Linked DNA regions of Oryzias latipes. The protein of the gene in region 1 interacts with the protein of each later gene in a biochemical or structural test. Links are inferred from orthologs where the notes say so. Each region holds a gene or a part of one and is shown in the gene's direction. Other genes may lie near its edges.

Region 1 (6,243 bases):
TTTGGCCTTGCACTATCAACAGAAAGAGGCCCAGAAATGGATGCCACACCTGTCTTTGCAGATTTGCCTCCTGGTTTGGGCTTCTATGAAATACGGAGGCGCTTCGTGGAACGGGCAAAACGGATTGACACAATTTCCCGAGCGCTTTTTCCCATGACTTTCCTGGTGTTTAATGTCCTCTACTGGCTCACCTACAAAGTTCTACGACATGAGGATCTCCAGGCCACCAAGTAAAAAGGTGCAGAGCAAGGATCAGAAAAGTCCTCTGGATTCTCTTAGTTCTGCTCTCTTCACTGAAACATTTACAGACTCAGAGGCCTCTGCTAAGCTGTACAAGATGAAATCTGACTGCATGTGCAGAGCTGCTGGGAAGCTCCATGACATGGAAGAATCTGCTGGTTTCTTTTAAACTTTTATTACTTCCAAAGGAATGCACTTTGGTTAGCACTTGTGCTTTCTGGATTACACGTGTGTACATGTGCAAATGGCAACTGTCAACCCTCTTTCCAAGGTTTTTTGTAAAATTCCTGAAGTTTCTTTTATAGTTGGGCATCCAGATTTGAGCTGTTTACTGACACAACATTCAAACCAGTACTTTCACCTGTGTCGCTGGGTCAGCCTCACTTTTACTTACAGCCCTGGGAAAATAATTTTAGCAGCAGATGAATAAATTCATAGTTTCAGACATTGCAATGATCACGTAATATTTAAAATGCATTTGGAGCCGTCTGATAGACAATTTATTAATAAAAAAGACAGAATTATTTTACTTTTTGTTGGTTGGTTTCAAACTTAGTGGTCAGTATTTATGCCTAAAGAAAACATGAATACCTTCAGATTTTCAAAATACATTTTTAGAACATGAAAATGTTCTAAAAGCAAAGAAAAGGAATTTCACTAAGAGAAATCTTGTTTTCCTTTTGGCTTTTCCCTTCAGGGATCGCCACCGTGAATCATCTTCCTCCATCTAACCCTATCTTCTGTGTCCTCCACCAGCTACCTTCACATCTTATTTGGATGCATCTATAAATTTCCTCTTTGGTCTTCCACTAGACGTTTTGCCTGGCAGCTCTACACTCAGCATCTTTCTACCAATATATTCACCGTCTGTCCTCTGGACACATCCGGACCATCTCAGTCTGGCCTCCCTGACTTTATTACCAAAACCTCCAACATGTGCTGTCTGTCTGATTTCCTCATCCTGATCCTATCCGTCCTGGTCACTCCCAAAGAGAACCTCAGCATCTTCATCGCTCAATTTCTGCTTCCTGTCTTTTCCTCAGTGCATCTGTCTGTAGGCCAAACAACATGGCTGGTGTCACCACAGTTTTGTACACCTTTCATTTAATTTAAGCTGAAACTCCTCTATTACACATCACACCTCATTTCGTTAAGAAAAATAATTTTACAAATCATAATTTCATATTTTCTATAGGCTTTATGAAATTGCTCACTCGGTTGTGCCGTGGCACATGATTCTTTGTTGAAATACTGCACTTAGCTTGACTTTTTCTGTCAAGTTGTCAGAAAGGGTGCTCATATTGTGTCTAAAAGAAAACCAAATACTTTTGTCAGAAATAAGACATTAACTATATGGTCAACTCTTTCTTGATGAAATGATATACAAATGTAAATTAGAGTGAATAACTTTTATTAAACAAATATTAATTTTCTTATCCCATTATTGCACAGGTCTTTGCTTTTCCTCCATAAAAAATCATCTGAGGGATCATTTGATTTAAAAAAAGAAAAAAAGTGGCAAAAGTTGCCATAAACCTGCCAACATATTTATTTTAAAAATAGTGTCCAGGATATGTTTAACCAAGTGCCTGGAGAGTACTGTTCTCTGGAAACCTTCCATTTTTAAAAATAAATCTTGCTGTTAAATGAAGCAGTGATATGAATATTTCATATAAAAGTAGCTGTCAAGTGGAAGGGGGCCAGGACTGCATACATCAGCAGTAAAAGTGTGTTGGAATCAAGAGAGTGCTTTAACTGAACAGAAGGGAAGAAGTGAATAAAGGTTGCTTGATTCTTAACTTTCATCATTTGTGAATATTAGCTATTTAAAACATATTTTGTATGATTAATTGTCTTAATGGTGGCTTATAAATTATGTAATGTTAAAGCTGTATTTTTTGTAATGTATTTTAATCTCAAACTTAAAAAATAGACAAAGCTTTGATCTGAAATATTTATTTATAGCCAATTTCATAATAGAGATTATAATCTGAGGACTTCCACTCGTGGCCACTAGATGGCATTGTTTCAACGATTATCTAAACGCGTGAGCTGTTCAAAGATTCCAGACTTCTCCCACTTTTTGAAAAGTGAGGCGCTTCAATTAACTCTAAAACTTAACAAATTTACGAGTATTTTTTATTACACTTTTTCTTTCATTTTTTAAAGCATAAATGAAGAAACTATCCTATTATTGTTTCTAGATATTTATAACTGCAATCCCGTGTTTTAAATCTTATGATTACAATGAAAAGGAGAATTGAGTTTAATTGAGGCGAAACCCCTTTGAACTAAGTTCTTGATTTAACAACTGTCAATTCTACAAATTTGAAACAGTCCAATATTTTATGTATCTGATCGTATGTATGTATATTAAACAGCAGTTAGAAGACTTAAAACAAACAAAAAGCATTTATTTAAAGGCTGACCCTCCATCAAAGGTTGTCCACTGGCTGGAGACGTGGCAGCGCCTCGGGTCATATGATTTTTGGCTCATGCACGAACCCCACCCCGTTATTTCCTACCCTGACAGGGGGGGTTATTGTTCTCCTAACTTCTAATTCTAGAGTAAAATGCAGATTTGATCGACAAAGGCGCTTGAATATGATCTGCAATGGCCAACAGAGGGTCTGGACGTGGATTTAAGTGGCGGTGACCACCCAAAACAGAGCCATTTTTAGACATTTGCTGCTGACGTTTACACGGGCTTCAAATAGCTTCCGTTTCACTCTGGTAGTGATTGGACTGTTCGGCACTAAGAGGGAGCTAACACCGCCTCAACCAGTCCGACATTCTTCACTTCAATGGAGGAACAGCCCAAAGATCGGGCACAAGACAGGCAAAACCATCACCACGGAGAGGACAGAAACTATACTCAACACACACTTCGTCTGAAACATGATCAGAGCCACATCCAGTGCCAGCATCAGGAAACGCAGGCGAAGAAAACAGGTTAGGCCGTCCCGAAAAGTCAGCTTGTTGCTAGCTTCAGTTGGCTAATGTCAACGAGCGCACGAGCCCTCGCTAAGTTCCCACAATTGAAGCTTTATCCTGCTGATTGTTGGTTGCACGGTTGAATATTTTCAGAACCGCCGTGGCAGTTCGGTGGCTCGCTCGAGGAGAGCCACGCTAGGCCTCTGTCACACGAGAAACTCACGCTTTTTTAAAGCTGACGTTGCGTGACAGTTGGTTTGACATATCAGGGATTGACCTTGTGCGCCGGCTTTGCTTTCCGATTTTATTTTAGCTAACGCCTCTAATAAAAGCTTTATTTGTGCCACCCTGTGTCTGTAGAGACTAACTTAGTCTTCCTCCAAACTTCAACCTCCTGTAGTGTATCGGTTTCGAGTCCAGTTAGGAAACCGAGCCGGCTCCGCTGGAATGTTCTGTGCTCCCATTTCCTGTCGGCCATGTTAGACGTGGACTGTAAGCTAATGCTGCTTTTGCTCTCCGAGTAGCTACATTGCCCATCTCTATTTGTTCATGCTTTCTCTAATTGCCGCCGGGGACTGAAAATAACGGAACCAGGGAGTCGTCTGAAAGTGCGCTAGTGTTGAGCGAGCTACTGGTTGGTTGACATTCCGCTAGCATTAGCTGTCTGACAGGCCTATCGCGTGTTGTGAAGTCACGCAAGATGCTGCCTGACTGACTGTGTTTGCAGCCGTGGAGCGTGGAAGAATTGGCTCAGAAAACTGACTGCTGTAAAACACTGTTTACTAAAAAGCAAAAGTGATTTATTCTGTGTGGGGAATCTCGCGTGTTTTGTCCACAAACATTCGGCTGGAGAAATCCCGTGAAGGGAAAAGTCCCACGTTTGCACCGCGGTTCCCATGCTTAAGTAATTACAGCACAATAAGCATAGGTCATCACACACGTCCAATGTGGGACAATGACATCAGCGTCAACTGCAGCATATCAAGGATGTGACTAATTAAAACAAGATCAGTTTTATTCACAACGAGCTGTATATACGAGATGTTGGTACTGAATGATCAACTGAAATTTCAAAAACCTGTTATTGAACATGGAAGTGAACTGGATGAGATTATACTCATGAATCTGGGTGTAATGATTCGATTCATATCCTAATTTCTGGTTGCCAGTACAATTCATAGTCTGTATTGGTTCATTTGATCTGAAACGATTTACTGACCTAAAATGGATCCAGGACATCTTTAGCCAAAAGTTCCTCCAGTGTGACTCAGAAATACCTGGTACTGAACAGTGCAGGTGAAGTTTTCCAGATTCCTTGTATTTCTTGTAAGATAATCTAGTGTAAATTAAATGTGTGTACAACCAAACAAGTAAACAAGAATTAATGTAAAATCCATTCACCTCTTAATTTCCTAAAGTTCAGTCCACTGTTGTTTCTCCACATCAAAATAATCCAAAGGGAACATTTTTAGAACATTCTAGCACACTGTATGGTCGCATGTCTTTGCTAAATTCAAAGTGTTTCCACATATTGGACTGGAATAATAGACTGATCATTTTTTGCTTACATCACGTGTGTTTTGTCTGCTGTGATGCAAATGCTAAATTCCGATAATGATTATAATTAATTTGTCTCATTTTGAAACGATTTTATACTGTTGTAGGTCGATTGGTTGACAACCTGTCTCAGACAGATCAATCTGGTTGGATCGTAGAAGTAGAAATCAATTAATCAGTTATGTTGATTAATTGTTACACCTCAACTTACAAGTATAGGTAATTTGATACAAAAAATTATATTGATTTCTCCAAAAAGTACTGATTTATGTTTAATTCCAATTAACTTAGAACTCAAGTGAGTAAAGTTGATGAGACCTAAAAATAACATGTTTTCTAATATGTATTGATATTGCGTAACAATATAGCTGCAGAGTCATATTTGTAATTCGTTTGTGCCATTCATACATGTTTGCAGGTCATCTGAAAAAGCATTTTCTGCTGCTTTAACCATGAATATCCTTTACCAACCAAACGTATAAATAAAGGCAACATCAACCTAAAAATAGACTTGTTTAGTTTTATGTCAAAATTAACATGTCATTATTACGGGCTGCCTTGGTACAGTGGAAGGGGGTCGACCTCTGATCAAAAGATTGCAGGAAGGTGTCCTTGGGTAAGACACTGAACCCCACCTTACCTCTGGTGGAAGGTTGGCGCCAGTGTGTGTGCATGGGTGAATGGGACTGTGACTGTAAAGCGCTTTGGGCCTTCTAAAAAGCTTGTAAAGCACTAAATAAGTATACGGCATTTACCATTATTTAGTAGAAATGTTATTTAACGTGAACGGCCACTAATGTAAATTAAATAACTACACAAAGTAAGAGGAAATACCATGTTTTCTTTCTTGATCTGAATATTAGTTGTAGTTTAGCTGATGTAAAGTACTAAAAATGGTTTTATGAAGTAAACAATGCAAAGCTTTAGAATGTATATAAGTGCATTCTCATATGATTTTTTGTATAGAGGGGATAACTTGGAGACCGACTCATTGACTGTGCAAAGCTTCATAAAGCGAACACCTGCTTATCAAAAGCTCTTAAACCAATTATTTGTATATGTGCGCGTGTGTTTGTGTATGCGCGTTATGGCTTACAAGATTTTTTTTTTTTTATTAGTTTCTTGCAGTTAAAGATTTTCAATTTTTTTTTCTTTAGTCTTTTCTCAGAATGTTGTTATGATCCAGGTGTGCACTTGGATGCAGGGTTGTGATGTTTCTCACAGTTATCAACTTTGGTTTAGGTTATGTCTTTTTTTCAATTTTAAATTCACAATTATAACATCGACAACAAAAAATAGCTTTGATTATTTTTATATTATCTGTTCAGCCAAATCATCAATGTGGTTTTAGAATGATGACCTGACATTTTCTCATAAGGAAGTTGTTGAGTTTTTCCACTCTTGGCCTCTTAAAAATGTTCTGTTTGTTTTTACCAAAGTCATGCATAAGCCACAGTTTTTAATTATAAGGTAAACATTGGCGTATTGATTCTTTACTGAATGTCAGGCCTT
Region 2 (6,222 bases), on another chromosome or scaffold:
AGCAGAAACATCCTCCTAATTTTTCAGGGCAAATACAAATATTTCCAAACCACAGAGCACTGATTGTCCATTCAGATGCTTCTTAGATGTCATATAACACATAATCTGCTACATACTTAGTATGTGAATTAGATAAAAGCAGCAGATAAATCAAACAGCACACCTATAATGCCTATTTAACAAGGAACTGAATTTTAAAACCAGCTTTTGGAGTAATAACATCAATGCAGGTCTGTATTGACCTCTTAAGGCCCTTTTACACTGGTCTGTACCAAAGTTGGTACCTTAGATGGTTCAATTTGTTTGGTGTGAAAGCTCATTCGAACTCCAGTTGGGACTTTATGAGCAATCGCTGGTTTTATTAAGAAAAGAGGTTTTTCTGAGTTTACCTGCAAGTGAACTCTGGTGTAGATCACAACAGTTTGAATGCACACAGACTACAAATCACATTAAATAATTAAGAATGACTCTGAAAATGCAAAAATTATGAAAAAGTTGGTGTAGTATGGAATGGCTTGATAATTTGCAGGCAGAGAATGGTTTAGCAGCAGTGAAGCCCTTTTTTCCCCATCTTGCTTCAGTCTTGACTTCTTTGTGCCCGAACACTTATGTCCTCTAAAAACAGCTCATTGACGGATCTTCAAGCTGCGCTTCCTTTACGTTGAATTTAAAATGAAAGCCTTTAAGGTCATAAATGTTGGATGTTTTGCCTCAAGCTGTTGGAGCTGTGATTCTTGGCGTCTGTTTTTGAGCTTCAGTATGAATGTTCAAATACATGTTTTCTAAGTTGTGGTTTGAACAAAAGTTTATTTCTAAATTTAGTTGATTGGGTTAAAAAAACTGTGGCTTTTTGACTATTCTTTTTAAGACTTTGAAGTGTGGTTTGTTTGTTCATCAAAAGGGTTTTAAATGTTATTCCAGCTTTTTGCTAAATTCCTGTAACACTTTAAGGTTTGTTTATATGAAGTTGATCAGTTTTGTTAAAAAACCAGATGACTTAAAATTTTCCCAAATGTATACAAGTAAACATTTTAATTTTCTGTGTAGCTTCACAATTTACTCCCCACATCAACCCAGTTGTCTCTATTTTTCTCTCCGATGTCAGCTTTACTCTGAACACCAAAAATGTCACGGAGACCATCATTGCAGCAAGTGGTTCCAAATCATCAATTCACACTGAGGGCGTCAGATCTTTGGACCAACATGTTTAAAGATCCTCTCCCTGTGTTTTGCTGTCTTCATTCCCATTTGTTGGCATTATAAATAGATTTTATTTTATTTAAGATTCATCAAAGCTCTTAGTGCAACTACAGACATGAACGTTTATGATGCTGGCTAAATCGAACTCCAACCCAATAAGAGCAAGACAAACAGCTTTGTCAGAAGCACCAGTGACGTCAAAAGTTTAAACCGGCAGACTGATTCAAGGAGAAAACGATTTATTTGCATCTGATATGACGATGTTGTTACGGGCTGCTGCTTTGATGTGAATTTGGTTTGGTCTGAAGAGCCTGAAACAGCGTCACTACGTTCAGGTAAATGAAAGTGGAAAAACTGACCCCTGACTCCTACCTGTTGAAAATAGACGCTGGAGACAACTGCGCTGCTTGAAAAGTAAAAACGCCACTTAGAAGGTCATCGCAGTTATCGTGAAGAGTCGCAAGCAGGACCAGTCCACATTAGAATAAACTAGACTGCACAAACATAAATTGTGTAGATTGCTTCGTTTTTCGTCATTTAGCAAAAATAATTTTCCCAGTTTCCGTTGTTAATCTGAATTCTGAGTAACTTCTATCTGTGTTGGAAGAACTAAAGAAAGCATATCTACTTTTTAAAGTCAACGTAAATCAAATAGGGCTGCATGGTGGCGCAGTGGCCTAACACCAAGAAGGTTCAAGTCCCGGCTGGAGGATCTGTAACAGAATCACCAATGGGGGGACCTTTCTGTGTGGAGTTTGCATGTTCTCCCCGTGCATGAGTGGGTTTTTTCCGGGTACTCCGGCTTCCTCCCACTGTCCAAAAACATGCTTTATAGGTTAATTGGTCACTCTAAATTGTCCCTAGGTGTGAATATGAGTGTGCATGGGTGTGTGATTGTGGCGCTGCGACAGACTGGCGACCTGTCCAGGATGTCCCCTGCCTTGTTACGATAAACGCCGGCTGCCCCGTGACCCAGAAAGGGACCAAAACCGGTTCAGGAGATGACTGCATGACTGAATGAATGAAAGATTTCAGCTTTTTAAAGAAGCAGTCAACAAAAAACCAGATTGGACCAGATTTTTGGACATCCAAAAGTTAACCATCATACCTAAAGAAAAAAAATTGCTAATGCAGGAAAATTATTTATGATAAATCACAAGATTAAACCTTAGGTCACTTTGAATTGATGTTTTATCATAAATACACACGACCGGGCATTTTTTTTGCCAAACACAGTTCAATTCATTCCTTTTTTTGATGAATTCCGAATTTAACTGATCAACTAGTAAAACTGTGACACAAACTCAACTATCAGTTTGTGCCAAAGCGGCTTTTCTAGGAACCGCACAGAGCAGCAAAGGCTGCGGGAAGAGTCTGCAGGCCGAGATCACAGTAGAGGAAGAAAACGCAGACGTCACATGGAGAGATGCACCCAGCAGCAGCTGCCTTACTACTAATCACACATTAACATAAACCAGCCACCACAAGCTAACCAGGACATCTATTTGCGTTAGATTTTCCACACGTTCCCCGCCGCGAGTCTGAAAGGAGGACGCGTGAATTTCCCCACGCGGTGCAAAACCGACACCAGCAGCTACCTTTGCCTCTCCTTGCTCCCAGCTGACCGCGGAATTCGTATTGGAAGAGAAACCAGCGACAAAACTCTGCTAGCGTCGGGCTAGCTAGCCAGCCAGCTAGCTCCCATTGCTAACTGGAGTTAGCTAGCTAGCGAGCTGTGGTAACTTGCGTCATGGAGGAGCTGGTCGTGGAAGTCCGAGGAACGAGCGGGGCCTTTTACAAGGTAAACGGTTAACTTCTGCCGACCCTGGTCACGCCTGTGGCACCGTGAACTAACAGGGCGAACACGGAATGGCCCCACCGAGCAAGCCCGGAGATGCGTGTTTGTGCGCGCGGGCCTCCGTGGATGTACCTGTAATAAACAAAACTGACGCAGCGATGCTTCGCCAAACTCCCATCTAGCAGCTGACTTAACGACATTAATGTCGCTGCAGACCCCTGAGATCTGCGAAGCCGAGCTGCTTTTGCTCATATTTATCCAATTTATTCGGATGCAGGGATTATATTGGTCAAAAATGTTGTTTTGTTTGTGTCTGTGGGGCGTCTCTATTTAAAAAAAGTACCAAAGTGTTGCGTTCGGATGCTAATGTGTTGTGGGATTTGTTTAGACAAACAGAAACTGCTCATATAAGCAGGGATTGTCAGGTTTTCAAATAGTGGCCACTATTTCATTGATCCCATTGTAATGAAAACCAATAATCTGATTTCTTAAATTATCAGATTATTCAAGGACTAGCTTCCATCAGATAATAGTTGTCATTTGGTTTTTGAGAATTAAATACACGAAAGTCAAACCTAAATTCACCGAAATCCGATTTTATTCTTGCTTGGACACAATTCAATTAATTTTTGTTCGTTTACATCCAATAATGTGTAAAAACAGAATAGAAAAATGCGAATAAATGGTAGTCAAGGCAATTTCTCTATTCTGTAGGGCTTTTTTGTTGTTGTTGACCTAAATGTTTTGATTGGGAAACCGTAAAAACCATGCGGACGGCTGATTTTAACAAAATGAGAACAGATGTGGAAAAACACCCACAAAAAGTTAAAGTCGATAAAACATGTAAATCTATTTGGATCATCAGGTTCCCTAAACGCGTCAGAACGAATGGTTACAGCTTCCTAAACCCCTCCCAGTTCTCCCATTGTTGTGGTCATATAAACAGACTCATGTGTGTGTAGTAATCTGTACATCAACAATGGTATTTAGGGATGTGCCAATACAGACAACCGATATTTGCCGATACTTAAGTGTCCACAGAAACACAAAGTTTAGATTTTCTTTTTGTTTCTTTATTAGAAATGTACCACTTTTCTTTGACTGGACAATCACATTGCATTTGACCTTTTTAACATACAGCAAAGGATCCTAGAGGAACAAGTATCACTTTATAATTGTCATAAAAATATATCTGTAAGCATTCAGACCATTTACTGAATATTGGACATAACTGTCGGGGATCTAATAGGAACAACGTGTATCCCTATCAAAAATTACATTTACCTGAAAACAGTCAATTACTGACTATGACAGCAAACATAAGTTTTCCAATCTATTGGTAACAAACATTTAAAAAATAAAGTGTTTCTGAAAACAGTCAAGCGAATATCGGTAGATTTTTTATATCAGACCAATACTGAGAAACTCAAATTATGCAAATATCTGCAGATACTGGCACTGAGATCGCCCATCCCTAATGGTGTTCCCTAAAGTGACGAGCGGCGTGATCATCGGACCGTCAAACTGTTACGACCTTCTGGTTGAGCAACATTCTCTCTGATTTCAGCCTCATGAAAGTTCGGCAACAATTTAGTGATAGAAACGTTAAGTTTGGATGCAGCGGCTCGCACGACCTTGTGACAAAAAAAAAATCTACGTTTTTTTTTTAATAAGTCTTCCCCAGAAAGGAAACCACAAAAAAAGTTTGATTCAGCTCCTCTTAAATGCTTATATTTTTGTTAGATTTTATTTAAAGGTATCTGGGTGATTTAAAAGTATTTCTCTAGAATGTGTTGGAATATGTTTAATATCTGTGTTATTAGAAAAACGACTGGTCTCAATCATTAAATGTATGTATTCAGTTAAAGTAAATATCTAATGTATATGTACATATTTATGTTTTATACATGGAATCATCTTTTTCTTGTACAGATTTCTTCGGTACTTAAGGTTTATCATAGCTGTCTTTGTGGTAAAGAATTTTTTTTTCCCGTGGTGATAAACTGTATGTGAGCCATAAAGATGGTCAAAGGTGTTTATTTTTATTGCAGACACTTAGATATCTTATGTCTGAGGGTCTAAAGTGTTGTATGGAGCACACGGTGGCTGTCCCACCTGGGATTTGAACTCTCAGCTGACTGATCAGCAGGCAGCTGCTCAACCCGACGGGATCTTCAAATTCATTAACAGACATTTTAAAGTTTAATAATCCTAAAAATGATCAAATTTATGGAACGTTTTTATATCATAAAAACGTTTTAAAAGTATTCACTTTATTGAAACTTTGGAGGCTCGTCTGAACTTTTCCCCAGTTATGTGTTCTTGATCAACAGGTGATGAGGGAAGAGGGAATTCTGGGTAAAAAAAAAACATGAAATTGTGAATTGGTTCCCAGTGCTCTTTTAATTATGACTATGCAGTTTTTAGCCAAAATCAGAACATAGTTTCTGCGAAGTGGCAGAAGTTCATTAGAAATTCACCTCCGATTTGTGAGTGGGAGCAACCTCGCCCCCCTTCCTTCTCTGTTGATGAGAGGTCTCTGTTTACGCGCTTTCCTCCTTGCTAACAGGGCCTCACACCCCCAACTTAACATTAGCGGTGCGACAAAAATGGCGAGCAGTATTGGAGCTGTCCAGTCGTACAGTTCTGATCCAGATTCCAGCTCAGATGAGCTAAACACAGACGTACACGGATCTATTTGTCTGGAAGTGGATGCATCAGAATGGAGCTTGTGACCCGCCCAGCGGATTTTCTACGTCACAAATACAATCTTTTTCAAACAGCTTTTTTCGTCTGCTCCTGATTCAGTGATTTGGATAAAGAAACACTCAGAAATCCATTTTCAATGTCCTCCATTAGAAAAAAGCATCAACATCGTGTTAAAAACAGTTTCCATTGGAGTGGGTCTTTTCTGTGCCTATTTGTTAAAGTGGATTCAGTTGCAGTTATTTGAAATGCTCGTGTTGCTCGGTATTCAATGCTGTCAGCCCTGAAGGCGTCTATAAATCAGAATGATCATTTTCAAAGTACGAGCTTTGACTTGCCTATACAGATAAAAACGCGTCCTCGTTTAACCCTTTTTTCATGCCCTTGTGGTAGAAATGATTAGATGGGTGGAGTGAGCACTTAAACCGCCTTTTAGGTTTTGTTTAAGTCAGTTTTCACTCCCGTTCAATGATGAACTCGTCATGCCGAAGCCTCTGGGTCTAATCTTCATCCTCATG

The links. The genes of interacting proteins can lie anywhere in the genome.
Region 2: the proteins of nufip2 (region 1) and fmr1 form a complex in vitro, tested with the Homo sapiens proteins (2 studies listed by BioGRID and IntAct, with this or other methods). The link is inferred for Oryzias latipes from reciprocal best matches to the Homo sapiens genes NUFIP2 and FMR1.

What each region holds. Positions count from the first base shown.
Region 1 is NC_019872.2:16,916,913-16,923,155, forward strand, and holds the start of nufip2 (nuclear fragile X mental retardation-interacting protein 2), read left to right. Parts: upstream 1-2,728; 5' UTR 2,729-3,044; coding exon 3,045-3,192; intron 3,193-6,243. Other genes in the region: glycine receptor subunit alpha-2, read left to right, coding at 1-234. UniProt on the Homo sapiens protein: Binds RNA.
Region 2 is NC_019868.2:25,366,566-25,372,787, forward strand, and holds the start of fmr1 (synaptic functional regulator FMR1), read left to right. Parts: upstream 1-2,549; 5' UTR 2,550-2,950; coding exon 2,951-3,001; intron 3,002-6,222.